2 linked regions of the Coturnix japonica genome follow. The main gene of each other region encodes a partner of the protein of the gene in region 2 in a complex. Links are inferred from orthologs where the notes say so. Each region holds a gene or a part of one and is shown on either strand. Other genes may lie near its edges.

Region 1 (4,212 bases), on a different chromosome or scaffold from region 2:
AGAATGAACAGCCTGGCTACATGCAGTTCCCACCTGTTGGCCACTTCAGCAGGATGGGGCAGCAAAGTGGCCCAGGCCTCACCTGCAGTGCTGGAGAAACACCACTCATCCCAACAGCCACTAAGGAGAGAAAAAGAACCATCTCTGGGCAGCAAGCCTGCAAGGAAACCCCCCTGTCCTCCTACCTGGATCATTTTTCTATGAGAAAAGAAAGGACAAGGTATGAGCTACTGCTTCCTTCTCAGCCCTGTGCAGCACATCAAGGAATTGGGGATGTAACTCTCCAATGGGACATCAAACAGAAGAGCACTGGCTGCTGCAGGCAGCTTTTGGGACAGCCAGCAGTTTGTGTTGCAGGCTCTGTCATCACAGGCAGCTTCCTGAAGAAGCGTCTATACTTTGAGGTAGCTGTATCATGCTTTCTGAGGAACAAAGCAGCTCAGGCAAGGGTGGTAGAGGAGACAGACCATGACAAGAACAAGGCTGCCTACAGGAACAACAGAACTGGGAACACAGCTGGATTCAGAGCTTTAAAGACTGCAGTGCAAATACATCATCGAGAGGGTAGAGCACCCAACAAAGGCCCACTGTGCTGTATGTACACAGCAAAGGTCAACCAAGAGAAGAGAGTACCTAGCTGGCCTAGGCAGAGGCACTGAGATAAAGCAGCTTAGGGATCTGCCTAAGGTAATCCGGCACATGGGCAATAGATAAGGAACCAGAGACAAGTGAAGGCCCTTACATTCCAATCCAAGTCGTATGTCTCTTTATTTTTACAGCACCTCCTCACCACTGCTTAAAACTTGGCTAACAGAATGTATGGAAACTGTCGAGTCCCAGCCTGAACCATTGATTGAGCACCTGGGCAAAGGACCTGGCCAGCCCTGGATGCACAGGTGAAGGCAATGCAGCAGTGAGACTAGAAGGGGTACAGCCTGGCTGCATCTCTCTTAGACCCCATTTAAGGGCTGACTGCCTCTGGGGAAGGATCTTTTTCTGGAGGTCTCTCCTTGGTGAAGCTTTCCTCTGCAAACTGAGACTCTTCTGATCCAGGTGAGCAATCTTCTTTCTTTCCTTTGTAGCACCTCTCTGTTGTGCCAGCCCTTCCATCATCATCACACATTTGATGTAATGCCTTTCCCATTGCACCGATCTAATTGCTACACAGAACTTCAGGCCAATTCCTGCTGCTCTTCCAAGAAGCCTCAATTAAACAGATTATGAGGTGCCACCGAGGATTCCAGAAGAGACTCAAGGAAGGGATAGATAACACATACTGCTTTCCTATTTTAGCACTGGAGTTATCACAGTATGACAAACTCTGATAAAACACCTGACATCTGCCTAATGTACAGATTAGATAACCAGAACTTTGATAGCTTCTATTATTGAATGCTGCCTAAAAACAAAGCTCTACTCAGAGCAAGACACTGCACCAACAGAGCTCAGCTCCCTGCCTTGAGCAGGCAGTATCCTTCTTCATTCCTTCGTTTCTCTCCCTGCAGCGTGACTCATTCAGGCACTAAATTTGCATTCAATTCCACCAGTACTTTGAGGAAACGGTGTGTGTGAAAGGCAGCATGCAAAGCAAAGATGCACTGCAAATCAATTTTAAACCAGGAAAGGTTTGGAGGAAGCATCACCTCAAACCACTGAAGTACACCTAGAAGCATAAAATACTCTGGTCAGCCTGGTCTGGTGGTTGGTGACTCTGCCTGTGGAAGGGAGGTTGAAACTGGATGATCATTATGGTCCTTTTTAACCCAGGCCATTCTGTGATGCTATGGCTCTGGGGGGACCTGAGAGTGGCCTTTCAGTACCTGAAGCAGGGCTGTAAGAAGGAAGGACACAGACTCTGCCTGCTGTGATAGGATGAGGGAAAGCGGTCCCAAACTAAGAGGAAAGACTCAAGCTGGATATTGATAATGAAGTTTTTTACAGTAGGGGTGGTGAAGCGTTGGCACAGGTTGCCCAGATTGGTGGTGGTGCCCCATGTCTGCAAACACCCAAGGTCAGGATGGACGGGGCTCTGAGCACCTGATGGAGCTGTATGTGTCCCTGCTCGGTGCAGGGTGTTAGAGCAGATGGCCATCAAGTGTCTCCTCTATGACTCTATATAAAGAAAAGCACCCAGATTTCTCCCTAGGGATCAGCACAATGCACTGACACCTGCCAACCATCACACATACCCACAGCCAAGCCCAGAAGAAAGCCGATCCGAGCTGATACCATTCTGTGCTCCAGCTTTTAGCCCTGAGTCATGACATCACCTCGTGCCATCACAACAGCGGGATGTACCTACAGCCCCTGAGGCCTCACACGGCATCACACGGGATGGAGGAGACCTTACGACGGTGACACCGACCGGCAGCACTGAGGCTACAGAGCCCGGTGTCCATTGCGGTTTGCCGTGCAGCAGAGCGGCCCCATATGAAGGCCGTGGGCAGCAGCCAGCAGCAAACAAAGCGGGGATCGATGTGCAGCGGGGAGATGGGAGCTGTGCACGGGGCGGCCCTTACCTGGCTGCCGAAGTCCCTCAGGTGCGCCATGCTGGATCCGTGGGGCCGCGCTCCTCGGCGTTCAGCTGCGGGAGACAACACGGCGGCTCTGCCCGGTCCCGTCTCGCCCCGCCATCCCCGCTCCGCCCCTTGTTGTCCCCCCTTCCCCCAGCCCCCACCTACGGCCCTGGTTCCCCCCGCGCAGCGCCGTGCGCCGCCATGCCGACAACAGCCGCCCCGGGACACCGAGCTCGGCCGCGCCGCCGGGAGGAAGCGGGAGGGGAGGCCGCGCCGCGATGCCTGCTGGGAGATGTAGTTCTAGCCCCGCCCAGAGATACAATGGGGCCGCCCCTACGGACTGCATGTCCCGGCGGGCTGTGCGCGGGGCGGAAGGAGGGGCCGAGGGAAGGGGAGGTGCGGGCTACAGCTCCCACGTGCGGCGGGTGTCGGGGAGCGGCGATAGGGGTCGGTGATGGGGGTCGGTGCTTGTGACGGCTGCCTTTAGGGTAAGCCATAATGAACGGCCCTGCCCGGCTAATGGCCGCCTCCGGGAGCGGTCAGGGCTGCCGGGTGGGTCTATGAACACGGACCCGCTTTGGGTTGTTTTGTCGCTGCCACCAGGTGGCAACCGCGGATCGCAGCGCTGAGCCCCGCGCGGCCCCGTGGGGATGCACGGTAACAGCTCGGCCCCAATGGCAGCTGGAGCATTGAGCACAGCCGTGCGATGAGCTGCCCACAGTAGTGGGAGACAGAGCTCCAAACCGAAGTGCTCGTCCCTTCGGTGCAAGGCATTGGGCTGATGGGCTGCACTCCACCTGGTAGGCATGAAGTCACCGCTGTGTGATGGCAGCCATAAGCTGCTCCGGGCCTTAAACCTTGTCCTTGCATCTCCTACAAGGATCAGCTTTAAAGGGAACCTGTCCCTGCCAAAAAGAACACACTGAGTGCTGCAGAAGCCCATTTGCTCCTATGGTTCCCCTTCCAGAGCCTTTAGGTGTATAGAAGCTGCATCAGGCTGCTAGAGCTCCAGCACTCTTGTTCCTGCCTGCAGACTATAACTACAAGGCTCAGTGTTGCGAGACTCTCTTTCCCTGCTGATATCATGGCTCTTAAGACTCTTTTGAGTGTTCAGCAAAGAAAAGGGCCTTTATCTCCCAATTCTGCTGCTGAAGTGGAATAAGCAGGAGTGGCTCTTGCAGCTGTGAAGCTCCGTGTGGAGCTGACTCCTGGGTTGGCTCAGCATCTTTTCCCTCCCAGTGACTAATCCTCAAATTAAGCCAGGCTCCTTCCAAGCTGAGAGCACAGAGCGCTTGTTCTTCCAAACCATGTTCCTGTGCAGCAGCAGAAAACAGCTGATGAAGCTGAATCTTAAACCCTCGCAGACGTCTGTGCTCTGCTTAGGCAGGAATGGATACAGCTGATGGATCTGCAGGGATACTTTGCCTTCCCAGCTGGTCTCTTCTCACTGCCCTGATAACAGGAGACCCCAGGGTGCCCCTGCTTAAACAGGGTGAATGACAGGAGCCGGTGATGAGGGTGAGCTGCACATCAGCCAGCACCTGGGGATAGAGCTGGCACTCACTGAGCACTCAGAGAGACAGCCTTGTCTGGAGCCACAGCACAGCTATGGAAATTAGCACGTCTAGTCTTTGAAATAGAACAAAGTGCTCTGCTGGAATCAACAGCGTGGCATCCTGCTTTCACTCCCTACCTG
Region 2 (3,985 bases):
GTTTAGAGAGGTTACCCACCCAGCGCAGTCACATTTCCTCAGGGTGGTTAACAGAGCAACAAGTGTGAGTTCAGAACAGCCAGAAAGAAACAGGAAGCGCTGCTTGAGCAAGCAGGGTTGTGTGGGACCTGCTTCTCTGGGCCGCAGGCTGAGCATGGCCCACAGCATGTCTTGGCCTCACCGCTCTCCTCCTGCATCACTTCTCACGTGGAGATGGTGGTGCTAATGTAGGGTGTGGTAGTGGTGTGTGTCTCTTTAGAAAGCTCTTGTGCTACTGGAGCAGAGCAAACTATCATCTCTGTGTGCCTAATGGTTTGTGACCCCCCAGCCTGTGGTGTCAGCATCAGCCTCAGGAAGTCTAGTTTATCCTTTCAGAAGTGGTCATTTCCAAGAAATGCTGTTGTGCTCTCCTTGTCAGTGTTCTGAGCGGTAGGGAAGGGAAGCTGAAGTGCTGCTGGGATGGACTGGTAGCTTTCAGTGCTCTGGCAGAGCTGTGTGGGTGTGGCACTGAGGAACACAGTTAGTGGGAATGGCAGGGGTAGGTTGATGGTTGGACTAGATAGTCTTAGAGGTCTTTCCCAACCTTAATGATTCTCTAAGTGTAAGGTCCCGTGCTCAGAACATTGCCAAAACAGCAAGGAATTCACCAGCAAGGAACTGAAATGGTAGGATTTGATGGGGGGTTGTGGAGCTGCTGCAGGAAGCAGCCCTCGTTACGTCCCTAAAGTGGGCTGCAAGCGTGCCGAAACCACTGAAGCCAGGCTGTGAGGTGCAGATCTTTTGAATCAAAGGGCCCTGGGCAACCTGATCTAGTAAAGGTGTATGTTTGGTGGCCCTGCCAGGCAGGGGGGTTGGAACTACATGATCCTTGAGGTCGCTTCCAACCCGGGTCATTCTGTGACTCTGTGTGCGCTCACCCCGATCCCCGAGTGTCAGTGCGCGGGGAGGAGCCTCTGCCCGCGGCCTCGGCCCCGCTGTGGCAGCAGGGCGGAGCAGCAGCCCCGCTCCCTGCCGTCCTCTCTCCGCCCGCCCCGCGTGCCGCCGCCCCACTAAACTACGTTTCCCGTAGTGCCGTGCGGTTGGCGGCGCGAAGCTCGCTCTGCCTTGTCCCCTGCGGGCCGCGGTAGCAGCCGGCGGGGGCGGCTGTCAGGCGGTGACGGCGGCGGGCGGGACGCGCCCAGGTTGTGCCGCTGCCGGGACGCGGCTGGGCGCGGCGGCGGCGGCCGGTGTCGGTGTGGGCGGCGCTGCACGGCGCGGCAGACGCGGCCCGGCCATGGACGAGCAAGCGGGGCCCGGCGTTTTTTTCAGCAACAACAACAACAACAACGCGCTCCTGCTGCCGCCGCCGACGGGCGGGCCGGGGCTGGAGCCGGGCGAGGCGGCGGCGGCCGCGGCGGGAGGCGGCGGCGCGGGGGTCTCCTCCGGCGGAGTCGCCGCGCCGGTGTCGGCGTCGCGGGCTCAGTACAGCGTGCCGGGCATCCTGCATTTCCTGCAGCACGAGTGGGGCCGCTTCGAGGCGGAGCGCGCCGAGTGGGAGGCGGAGCGGGCGGAGCTGCAGGTAACGCCGCCACCCCGGCCCCCCTCCCCGCTCCCCAGTGCGCCCCCGGCCCGCGGGGGGTGGGGGGTGGAGCGCCTCCCCCCGGCCCCGGTTCTTCGCCGCCGCCCGGAGGGGCGTGACATGGCGGCGGCCTGCGGGGGGCGGCCGGGTGGGCCGTGGGCGGGAGGAGTCGGCTCCGCGACGCCGGGGCTGAGGGGCGCGTTGCGAGAGCTCCGATAGCGATCTTGTGGTTTAGGGAACTTGTGAAGTGCTGGCCCGCAGCCACCGCGGTCGGGCGCTCCGGGATGCGCGCCTCGTATTAACGCTAATAACAGAGGGTAATAACAGAGGGCGGCGCGGCCTGCACCGCGGTGCTGCTTCGGCTTTGTTCACGAGCAAATCTCGGTTGTAAATCTTAACCGCCCGCAGCGCCGGGAGCCCCTTGTGGGTCCTTCCCAGCGCCGTGCTCGGGGCAGGGAGCGCTTCCTCTTGGGTCTCATTCCCTTCCTCTTCCTTCCTGGCAGTTCTGTTCTTTCTGTTCCTTTCCTTGAAAGTATCGTCTTTGTCGAGAGTCTAAAGTCTGTTTAACGGCAAGAACCGCTTATCTCTTTCGTTGTTATTGTTTCATTTTTCTTCGTTTTCGTTTCAAGTGAGGAGGAAAGTCGGTTCCTTAGCCGTACTTCCAATGACAACATCAGGCAAACCCTCGTGGAGGGGAGTGGTGGCTGCTCCCCGTGTAGGAGTGCAAAGGAAGTGGCCATAAGCACAGGAGAGATGCGGTTTGTGTTTTAGCTTCAGTGATTTGGTGAAAGATTTGCTCGTAACATGGTTAGCGGGCACAGTGGCGGTGGGTTGATGGTTGGACTAGATGATCTTAGTGGTCTTTTCCAACCTTATTATTCTGTGATTCTATATGTTGCTCACAACATCCGGTAAATATGATGTAGAAAGTAACTAGTTCAACTGCACATAATAACAACGTTGCTCGTCGCACCCTAAGGTATTTATGAGACTCCACTGGGTATTTTTTCATTGCTGATAGGAATCTCACAGGGTGCTCTGGAGGAAAACAAGTTCCTTGGGACCAAAGCGATTCTGCCGATGCCCAGCAGCAGCAGAGCTGTATGTGCCCTCAGTGTCCCCCCAGAGGCCATTCCTGCATCCCACCTCCCCAGTGTCCCTCTGGGGAGCAGTGGGTGTCAGAGCTGAGCTAGCATGAGAAGGGGCCAAGCACATGCGTGATGTGCCAAAGTCATGCGCTGTCAGTGGCAGGGCAGGAGCACAACCCCAATACAAGCTGTTTGCTGGAACTCCTTCGACTCTTGCCAAAATGTCTCAATAAAGCTATAATTAGCTGTGACTGGCATCGCCACAAGCTGCAACAGCATTTATCTACTGCAGAGTCATGTTCAGGAAGGTGCAAAATTCTTGACTGTCCCTGCAGACATTGGGTGTGTGACGTCTGCCACGACCGTTCTCAGCCGAATGCTCTTTGATCCGTATGAGAGGTTTGTGTTGTGGCTTCGGCAGCAGCGAGGGGGCTCTGAGCAATGGTACATGCACAGCCCCACAATGAGCAGCATTAATTAAAGGCAGATTCCACGTTCCTCTTGAAGCCCTTCATGGGCCTGGATGCTGTGGATTGTTTAACAGAATAATGGCAGTCAGAGGTCATGCAGTTTCTGTCTCTCGAGATAAAGATGCAGTGCTCTGATTGTACTCCAAGGTCTTCTGGCCAGTGTAAATTAAATGCTAGGCTGTCTGCTCTCTTGGGAGGCCATGTGGCAGAGATCCTGCTTTGTACGGCATTCTCTGTGTGCCATACATTTTATGTGTAGTGCATCTTGCTCCTCAAAGGCAGACTTATGATCTCTGGTTCCTTACCACTGTGATACTTAAGTCCCTCAGATGTTGCTCTGCTTGGCTGCTGCTCTGTGCTCGACGGTTAGTTAAGCTATACTCTTTCTGAAAAAAACACCTTGTAAGTCAATCCTACTGCGATTTCCTGCCTTCCTTTTCTTCCCCTCTGGGCTTCTTTTCCTTTTCTCTTTTTTTTCCCCCTCCCTTTGCAGTTACTTGTGTGGAACTCCACGTGATGCTCAGCACACCTTCCTGTTGTGCTGCAGGCTGCCTGCTCAGGTGCCCCCCACCCTTGCTGCAGTTAAAAACAAACGAGTTGATATGCTGGGAAACTGGTTCTGTTCATACTTGCTGGCCTAGTTGCTGCTTTAACAAAGTTTTTTTTTTCTGCCTGTTTGCCTATTCTACTTATCATTTGCTTTCCCTGGCAAATATCTGTGTTTACTCTGATTTTCTAATTATTTTTCTTTAATCTTTAAAAATGGTTCTTGCCTCTGTTATATAATCTTCCCCATTCAGAGGCCTTCAATATTTATATCTCCGTGAGTACCATCAGCAAGCTGCATGTTTTGAGGCAGACTGAAAGCA

The links. Proteins that work in one complex are often made in the same cells at the same time.
Region 1: STRN (region 2) and STK25 share a complex: the UniProt entries of both Homo sapiens proteins name them as parts of the core of STRIPAK complex. The link is inferred for Coturnix japonica from reciprocal best matches to the Homo sapiens genes STRN and STK25.

Annotation. Positions count from the first base shown.
Region 1 is NC_029524.1:3,907,273-3,911,484, forward strand, and holds the start of STK25 (serine/threonine-protein kinase 25), read right to left. Parts: upstream 2,808-4,212; 5' UTR 2,678-2,807; intron 2,585-2,677; 5' UTR 2,550-2,584; coding exon 2,520-2,549; intron 1-2,519. UniProt on the Homo sapiens protein: Oxidant stress-activated serine/threonine kinase that may play a role in the response to environmental stress.
Region 2 is NC_029518.1:28,841,895-28,845,879, forward strand, and holds the start of STRN (striatin), read left to right. Parts: upstream 1-1,184; 5' UTR 1,185-1,273; coding exon 1,274-1,558; intron 1,559-3,985. UniProt on the Homo sapiens protein: Calmodulin-binding scaffolding protein which is the center of the striatin-interacting phosphatase and kinase (STRIPAK) complexes.